Linked DNA regions of Drosophila melanogaster. Each later gene encodes a partner of the first gene's protein in a complex. Each region holds a gene or a part of one and is shown on either strand. Other genes may lie near its edges. The genes, in order: pont and pho.

Region 1 (4,446 bases):
TCCCTATCAGCAGTAGATTCAATTCAAAACACAAATAATAACAGCTTTTACCCAAGCAGAATACGATCGCTAATAACGCAACACGCACCTAAAATTAAAATAATGTGGATTCCTGGCCATTCAGGAATAAAAGGAAATGAATTAGCCGATCAAGCTGCAAAATCAGCAAGCAGTATGCCACTTATCCTCACCCCAAACATAAATACCACAGATATAAAAAAACACCTTAAAGCCGACCTTGCGACAAAACAGAAAGAACACATAATAAACTGCAGTCCATGGTACCAATCTATTAACACGAACACCTCACACCCATGCGATTACCTTAAACAATCCCACCCAAATTGGACCAGACTCGACCAAATAAAAATAATACGACTTCGACTAGGACACACAAACATAACCCACCAACACTACCTAAATCCCAATTCAATACCAACTTGCCCGTTTTGCCAAGGTGATATTTCTTTAAACCACATATTTAACTCATGCCCATCCCTCCTACAAACCAAACAAGATATATTTAACAACACCAACCCTCTAGACCTTCTTAGCAAACCCAATCCAGATAACATACAAAAACTCATACTTTTCCTCAAAAAAACTAAATTATACCACAAAATCTAAAAACAAAACAGGCATTTGTACATAACAAGCCAGCAATTAGTTACCAAATTAGATATTAACTAAATTAAGATATAATAACATTGTAAATAAATATAGCTGTAAGCCCCGTAGCTAATGCTATACTATCTAAGTTAGTCTAGTTTTGTAAACTATTCTATCTATCATAATAAATAATAAATAAAATAAACATACTTTTTATATTGTCTGTGAAAGGTATTTACATTGCTTGTGGGTATTGTCCACTCCATTGGCTTGGACTGCTTTGTAGGATCGGAAGCCTCCGAATATTCGGGTATCTCAACACCCAATAGTTTACAAACTTTGGACAAAACCACATCCACATAACTGGATATGATTAAGTTAGCCTTTTTGTCATGTTTTGTGGGCTGCAGATTACAAATGACAAATTTTCCACCGCATTTTAGATTCTTTAAAGGAAGGTCTCCGCTGGGAACGATCTGCAAAGTGGTTCCAAGCGCAATATTTAGGTCAGCGACGGTGGAGTGCATCACACCCATTTCGAGGTCGTTTTCGGGAAGATCGTGCTCCCAGTCCAGAACGTTATCGTATAGGATTCCCGATCTACAGCTACGACCTTTGCTATCCATTGAAGACTTGCAGGCACGTTGCAGGGATTTTTGACCCACTGTTTCCACGGCAGATGGGCTCACAAATTGCCGTCTGCATTTCTTACACTGTTCGATGTAAATGTTGCCGTGCAATTCGGAAAGATACTTCCGATCCAGTCCGGATTTCAAGTGGAGACCATCAATATTCTGTGAGATTACGTACTGCACATAGCCACTTTCAATCAGGGCTATGATAGCCATGTGGGTTTTAGTTGGTCTGGCTTCATCGAAGGAAACATTGAAGTCCGGCTTCTCGCCCTTCTCCTCCAGGGTCCAAACGCCCTTGGGTCCGCGGAAATCCGGAATTCCTGCAGACGTACTGATCCCAGCTCCCGTGTGGAGGACAACGTGTCCCGATTTCTTGATCAATTCAGCCAATTCCTGGCACTTTTCGGCCACAACCTCATCGCTGTCGAAACTCTCTGGTGCTCCCAAAATTCCCTTGTTGTCGTAGGCTGACAATCCATCCGCGTAGTTGCAGCTCATGGTTTGATAAAAGTTTGATCTACTTCAAAAGCGACTATTATGTCTTTTTGGTATTAATTTGTTTATATTTTGTACGGCTAAATGAGTCCATCGAGATTTTATTGTTTATAATATGACCGTATCCGTAACGCTACAAAATACTTTAAAACGTGCCAAGTGAAATTACACTGGTCATTAAAAAAAAGTATAAGGTGTAATATAATTTGCAGCTTGGTAAAAACTAAATAAATCTCAAATATCTTAGCTTACCTTGATTAAATATAAATGTAAAGTATTAACTCAAAATATTTGTTATTATATTTAAAACATTTATTATAAATTATTTTATTTTCTACCATGTGGTTCAGTGTACCAAGCAACATGCTTGGATTTCCAACTCGCACGGTCACACTGTAAACAACGGCTGCGGAAACAAAGTGTGCTTCTAATTTCCAATCAAAACGCCGGCAGAAAAACAAATTTTATCCACGGCAACGAAACAATAGTTTGTTTGATCGTTGCAACGCTTGACTTCACATTTCCTCTCCCTCGGGCGAAAAACAGCTGAAACCGGAAACGGATCAGAGTATTAGCATCAGGCAGGACACGGATTTAGAGGCGCCATGAAGATCGAGGAAGTCAAGAGCACCGTGCGCACCCAACGCATCGCAGCCCACAGCCATGTGAAGGGATTGGGCCTGGACGAGGTTGGAGCTGCCGTGCACAGTGCAGCCGGACTGGTGGGTCAGAAGGCGGCACGCGAGGCAGCCGGCATTGTGGTGGACCTCATCAAATCGAAAAAGATGGCCGGACGAGCGCTTCTGCTGGCTGGGCCACCAGGCACGGGCAAAACCGCCATTGCTCTGGCCATTGCCCAGGAGCTGGGTAACAAAGTGCCCTTCTGTCCCATGGTCGGATCGGAGGTATTCAGCAATGAGATCAAGAAGACCGAGGTGCTAATGGAGAATTTCCGGCGCTCCATTGGTCTGCGCATTCGTGAGACCAAAGAGGTGTACGAGGGCGAGGTTACGGAACTCACGCCCGTGGAAACCGAGAATCCTATGGGTGGCTATGGCAAGACTATCAGCAATGTCGTCATCGGCTTGAAAACAGCCAAGGGAACCAAGCAGCTCAAGCTGGATCCCAGCATCTTTGATGCCTTGCAAAAGGAAAAGGTGGAGGTGGGCGATGTCATCTACATAGAGGCCAACAGTGGTGCCGTAAAGCGTCAGGGTCGCAGTGACACCTTTGCCACTGAGTTTGATCTCGAAACCGAGGAGTATGTGCCGCTGCCCAAGGGCGATGTCCACAAGAAGAAGGAGGTTATCCAGGATGTTACTCTGCACGATCTGGATGTGGCCAATGCTCGTCCACAGGGCGGCCAGGATGTGCTCTCCATGATGGGCCAGCTTATGAAGCCGAAGAAAACTGAAATCACTGGTTAGTTGTGTAATTTTCTTCCCATTCAAATTTACTAAAATACCATTTGATGAGCAGACAAACTACGCATGGAGATCAACAAGGTGGTAAACAAGTACATTGACCAGGGCATAGCCGAGCTGGTTCCCGGAGTTCTCTTCATCGATGAAATTCACATGCTTGATTTGGAGACCTTCACCTACCTACACAAGTCCCTGGAATCTCCCATTGCACCAATTGTGATTTTTGCCACCAATCGTGGACGCTGTGTTATTCGGTTAGAAATACTTAGCTCGTAAAACCTATTCGCATTATTAATAAGAGTTACCTCTTTCCAGTGGCACCACCGACATAGTTTCGCCGCACGGAATTCCGCTAGATCTGCTCGATCGTTTGCTGATCATCCGCACACTACTCTACTCCACTGCCGACATGGAGCAGATAATCAAGTTGCGCGCCCAGACCGAGGGACTGCAGCTGGAGGAGAACGCATTTACACGTCTCAGCGAGATTGGAACCAGCTCCACGCTGCGCTACGCCGTCCAGCTGCTGACCCCGGCTCATCAGATGTGCAAGGTGAACGGACGCAACCAGATCAGCAAGGATGATATCGAGGATGTGCACTCGCTCTTCCTTGACGCCAAGCGCTCCTCGAAGCATTTGTCCGAAAAGAACAATAAGTTTATGTTGTAAGTTTGACGATTCAAGCTGAATTGTAATTCCATTTGCACGGATTTCCCAGTAAAAATCAAATAATAAGCAATTTAATTTATTGTAATGATGTGGTAATTTGAAAACATTCAAATGATCATTTCAATGGCGCTTCAAACATCGACAAGAAAAGTGTGTACACACTTCAACTGAAAGTAAATCGGAAATTTTTGGTTGGTGTCTTAGCTAGATTAGGGCGAATCGTGAATTTCTTTCAACGGTTTTTTTAATTGATACGTAGATAAGCATATTTAAACGAACTCGGAGGACTAACCATTTTCTTTTTATAATTCGGTTGTTTGATTGTAATTATTTTGTCTTTCGTTTTCCGCTTAATCTTCCATATTTGCTGCTTGTGATCGCAGCGATATGGCAACTTCCACTCGCGCCACCCTCATTTTCCCACCATGCGACATCAGCTGCTCGCGTTGTTTGGCCAAGAATTCCAATTGGTGGTGAGTTCAGTTACTCAACGAGCGTCGAGCTGCGCACTGCCCCAAAATAAATAGCCAGGGAGCTCCGCTGAAGTGCATGCAGTGAATAGTATATTTAACGATTCGATTCGCGGCGTGGGCGTCTTCTTCTTTTTCGGCCC
Region 2 (5,145 bases), on another chromosome or scaffold:
GTTGCGTGGGGCCCAGCACGCTTGCCACAGATTGAACCCCGGAGACAATAGTTTTTGGAACGCCCAAAAATATGGCATCTCAGACATTGCAGCACTTCTTGCCTGCGAACAGCTAGCTTGGGTGGTTATGGTGTTGGTAACATTGGTGTTACTACTAGTTGTCAACTTCGCAAGCTCGAGAGATAACAATTGAGGGGCTTACAAAGCGTCGGCTTGGTTGAGCTTATCTATGATAAGTAACGTAATTGTCTGTCACCACTGCTGTGCATTGGATAGAAATAGAAATTGTGCGCGTGCACAGTACGATTGGAAGAGTTGTTGATGTGTTACAACAAACAGACTAGACTATCGCGATCGTCCGTATGCAACGAAGGCTAGGCAGAGACTGGGCATCATTGAATGGGTCCAAAAAAAATTCTTAATGTTTGCCTTGTGGGTCCTATTCCTCATTCCAGTAGACTAATTCTAATTCAGTTACCCTCCCTAGCTAACCGTAGAACGATGCTTGGAACAGTCTTTATTAGTAAGTTTACGAGTAGTACGATACGAGTAGTCCCGACCTGGTTTTTCGGCGAAACTTCTCTGTTCCAAGTATATTCACTAGAAACTACATACCCTTAATCTTAAATCATTCTGTATGTTCATGTTATGTTCTGACTATAATAGACGTAATCCTATTATCTGTAATCTTTACTCTCTGCCGCTCTTACAGCAATCAATTATAACTTTTTTAACACATAATTAGATCTTACTAATATTACACTTATACTTTGTTGTTTTATTTATTTCCTCGTTTCTGGGCTCTTTAAAATTTTATTTATTGCATTGTCCTTTTAAATATGCAAATCAACTTAATCAAATTCACTTTTTAATTTTTATTTCGTTAAACAACATCAGACAACTCTATTCTAATAAACACCATAAAAAAGTAAATGTCCATTCTACAAAAGTAAAATAAAAGTCGCTCACGAAAGAGAGGGAGGGATCAGGGAAAATATTTCAATGAATTCAGCTGTATATTGATCCTCTAAAGAAATAATTCTTTCAAATTTGGAAACTAGTTTACCTAGAAACGGACAAAAAGTGTATATAATGTATATACTTTATAACGTAATTAATACTTTATAAATATTGAACAAGTACAGGCAGACAATTTCGGGTAAAGGCGATTATATCAGTGTAAGCAAGCATGCACAGCATGTTGATATTTAAATCTATGAACAAAGGAGAGAAAATGTTCGAGTTCTCCGACTATCAGATACCCATTACGCAACTAGTGGAGAAAAATAATCAAATAGCAGTCTTGAGCGGATTTGTCTCTGAAATCTGCATGCTTAATCTCAACTTTCTAGCTTATTTAGTTCCTGAGATCTCGACATTCATACTGCCAGACATATCCAGTTCGACTTGGGTAGTTCACTGGATCAAAAATATATATACTTTATAGGGTCGGGAACGCTTCCTTCGGTTGCCATTGTTTTTCGAAACCCCTTTTACTTTGCGAGTTTAAGAATACTTATATAGCGTGATAAATTTTCAACCAAATTAGCTACTATATTCTCTATACAAAATTATTTGCGCAGCTAATTAAAAATACTTTAAATTAAAATTCTATGTCTTCAAAAGCACATTAGGATATCCGCAAATCCGTACATATCCATATAATATTCTTTAAATCTTTAAGCCAAAAGCGAAAAGGTAACGGGTCTTGTGCGCAACACCATCATGGAACTGGGAGATCTACGGCACACTAAACTAACGCTCACAAGGGTATAAGGACTCTGCAGTTTAGCAATTAAAGAACGATGTGAGTCAGATGGGAATCAGAATAACAGCTTTGATTGTGGACAGTCATGCGGCATATTAACATTTCAAGCGAACACTAGCAAGAGCGTGCCTGTGAGCAACACCATTATTGAACTTGAACGTCTACAGCACACCCAAACTAACGCTTACATGGGTACCCGGCGTCTCCGCCATTACAGGTAACTCACGAGAGATGAGGATTAGCCTCACACCCGTCAACACTGTGTTTTGAGTGATAGTCTTCCGAGTCTTGCCTCCTTTGGAAAAACCTTAACCTAACATATTACTGAACAATCTGATGATACTTCATTTCTTCGATGCCAAGGCGCTTAAAAGCTGACATTAACGATCTGGGCTTGGCTTAAAAATGTTAGTATGGCGGCTTAAACAATATTAAAATTTTAGTTTTGACAGTTTTTGAAGGTTTGTGGGCGTTGGAGTAGAAGTGGTAATTTTCTCTAGAATGTGCATGCTTTATCTTAACTTTCACATCTTTTATTTAGTTCCCGAGATCTCAACGTTTATACGGGCAGATCGACTTGGCGCTAGTGATCATGAGTAAGAATACTGTGGTCGATTCCTTCTACATACTTTTCAACGAATCTAGTATACCCTTTTACTCTAGGACTAACGGGTATAACAAGTAAATATGTTTATATTTTATGCTTCATTAAACAGTATTTTGTTGTTACGCTTTATAAAAAAGTGCTTTGTTGCTATAATTCGATTTTCAAAACATAGACATGCCTGTAAAATCCGAACTTACCTTCATTCATTTTCTGATTGACTTTTGTGTTGCCTATATCTTCATCGTACTGTTCACTTTGAAGAATAATTCCAAAACGTTCGTATGCCATATTTACAATACTATAATCCACATACGCATGAGTTTAAAGTTAGTATTAAAGCATTTCAAATGCCAGGATAATTGTAGGCACATGTGTTAGGTAAGATTTGTATGTTTCCTGAGCGTTGCATTCCCTGAGGCTATTTGATGTATCTGAAAGAACAGCATTTTTACTGCCATTATTCCATATGTAGGCAATATAAGACATGAATATAATATCACGGATGATTGATACGTACACACACAGAATTAATAATTGTCATATTTAAGTAGGGAACATAATATACATTAAATATGACAAACGGTTCTCTAAGAAAATGTAGTGAATATGTTAAAAAAATTCTGATTGAAATAATACGAAAGATTAATTAAACGCCACATAAATTTAATGATAGTCGAATTGTTTCACTAAAAGCCGAGGAAAACAAAAGAATTCAAGTAATTTTTATAAAACGCGATACCAAATGACTCAAAATATTGAAAAGGTTATTCTGCTTGTTTGGCATGGGTATTCGATGCCTAAATATTTGGGTTTTTTGCAACATACTAAACTTTAGTATTTTTTTACAACGCAAAATATATCTTGATTCCACGTCGACTAGCTTCTAAATATAGAACAAGCTGGCTGTAATCTCTGTAATTATATCGGTATAGCTTGAAATATACATGCAAAACATAAAATTAAATAATACTACAAATTTGTAAACCGATATGAATTAAATTTTTCATATGCTTAAAGAAAATCCTATCAAAGAATGTGTATATTTTTCTATTAGTTTTAGTGATAAATAAAGTTCATATGATACGGTCCACAAATACATTTCGAAAATGTGGAAATGGAATCATCCTCATTTCGGAAAACGAGTGCAATCATGCTATAACCAATTTCCCATCGTTAACAAAGCTTAACATGAGACTGGAACAGATTTAAAAGAGGCAACTGTTAAACGAAAGGGGAAAGTTTCTACTGCGTGGGATCAGGCACCGATGGTTCAACATCTCTACTGATCTTGTGTTCTGCTGTAGATTTGAAAAAGCGCCAATTCTGCCAATCCTTGTGTTTTGTGCTGATGTAAGAGATGCCAAGCATGCACAGCGATAATTTATAGTCAATCATGCTCCTGTAATTTTTATTTTTTATTTCGATTTGGGCAAAATCTTTTGATTTCGTTTTTAGCTGTTTTGGTTTTCGCAAAATTTTTGCTATCGGAATGTTTTGTAAACATTAAACAGCTGTTCAAGCTGTTTTCCAGACCATAGAGCGGACACCTTTTTTTACAGTTTTAAGTCCGACGTTCGCAATTACTTTGTTATTGCACTTTGACATTTAAGTAATAAAAATACATTTAATTAAATACATACAACTCTTTTGGCCATTCCTGAAATTCATTAATGAATTCTTTTATATTTTATAAGTATTTTTACCTGCCTGTTTCGTTTTACCAACAGTATGGCAGCCTTCGCAATAAATATTGGGAACGTACTTCTCCTTTGCTAATCCCCTTGCTAAATCGAAAATATTTGTTGCTGACGGCAAAATGTTGTTTGTCAAATCTGAGGTGGGGTCGGAAATACATTTTTTGTATAATAACGCATTGGCAGAATGATCTTGTGGTGATTTGGAATTAACATCGATAGACCACTGAATAAAATATTTTTTCCTTAGTTAATAAGATCTGATTTGATAGATATATGTATGTATAACAGGCATTTACTTTTAATTTCGCCCAGACAAAAGTAAAATTCTTACGAATTCGATTACCAGAGAATGTCAATATTGACCGTCACCAAAAAAGTGACTGCATTGTGCTAAACCAACGTATGGTCGTTACCAATCATGTTATTCTAATGTCTTTGATTTGACTCTGTTAATAGAGATTGAGAAATATCGATGATGGCGGACATCGATGTTTTTGGCGAAATATGTTGAAAAAACATCGACGTTTTAAATAAAAACAAAAAAGAATTCATCTATTAAATTTATTATTTTCTTTTTTAATATTGCTTCAATAAAGAGGCTGCGTATTGTCGTCCACCTTTTCATCCGCCGGTGGTCCAGTAATTGCTTCTATACAACAAATACAATTACATATATAATTAATGCATTTTCATGGAAAAGTAAACTAATATGCATTACTATATGCATACATGCATACAGTAAAATAATTGTTATATATTTGAGTCTAACTAATTTCAGTTGACTAAGGTCAACGCTAAGAAATAAAAAATTATCATAGAGATGGTTTTCACGTCTTTATTCTTTTGATCTCAGCTTAAGACTATATGTTAGTGACAAAAATCTTTCTTATACTGCCTATGTTTACATTATTTCTGGAGCGGGATCGCCCGCTTAAGATATTTATTGTATACAGCTAGCGTACATGGCGTGGAATCGCCACTCTGTATTTCTTCTGAAAGTGCTGATTATGTGAATATGTCACATATTGCCCATTTGTTTATATTATTTCCGGTGCGAGATTGCCCGCTTGGGA

What was found.
Region 2: pont (region 1) and pho share a complex: the UniProt entries of both Drosophila melanogaster proteins name them as parts of the chromatin remodeling Ino80 complex.

What each region holds. Positions count from the first base shown.
Region 1 is NT_033777.3:10,259,999-10,264,444, forward strand, and holds pont (pontin), read left to right. Parts: upstream 1-2,124; 5' UTR 2,125-2,344; coding exon 2,345-3,161; intron 3,162-3,218; coding exon 3,219-3,417; intron 3,418-3,478; coding exon 3,479-3,833; 3' UTR 3,834-3,901; downstream 3,902-4,446. UniProt on the Drosophila melanogaster protein: Acts as a transcriptional coactivator in Wg signaling caused by altered arm signaling. Pont and rept interfere antagonistically with nuclear arm signaling function, and are required to enhance or reduce arm activity, respectively.
Region 2 is NC_004353.4:1,178,476-1,183,620, forward strand, and holds the start of pho (pleiohomeotic), read right to left. Parts: upstream 3,154-5,145; 5' UTR 3,115-3,153; exon of another isoform or gene 2,893-3,114; intron 2,807-2,892; 5' UTR 2,664-2,806; coding exon 2,573-2,663; intron 1-2,572. UniProt on the Drosophila melanogaster protein: Polycomb group (PcG) protein that binds to the 5'-CNGCCATNNNNG-3' sequence found in the regulatory regions of many genes.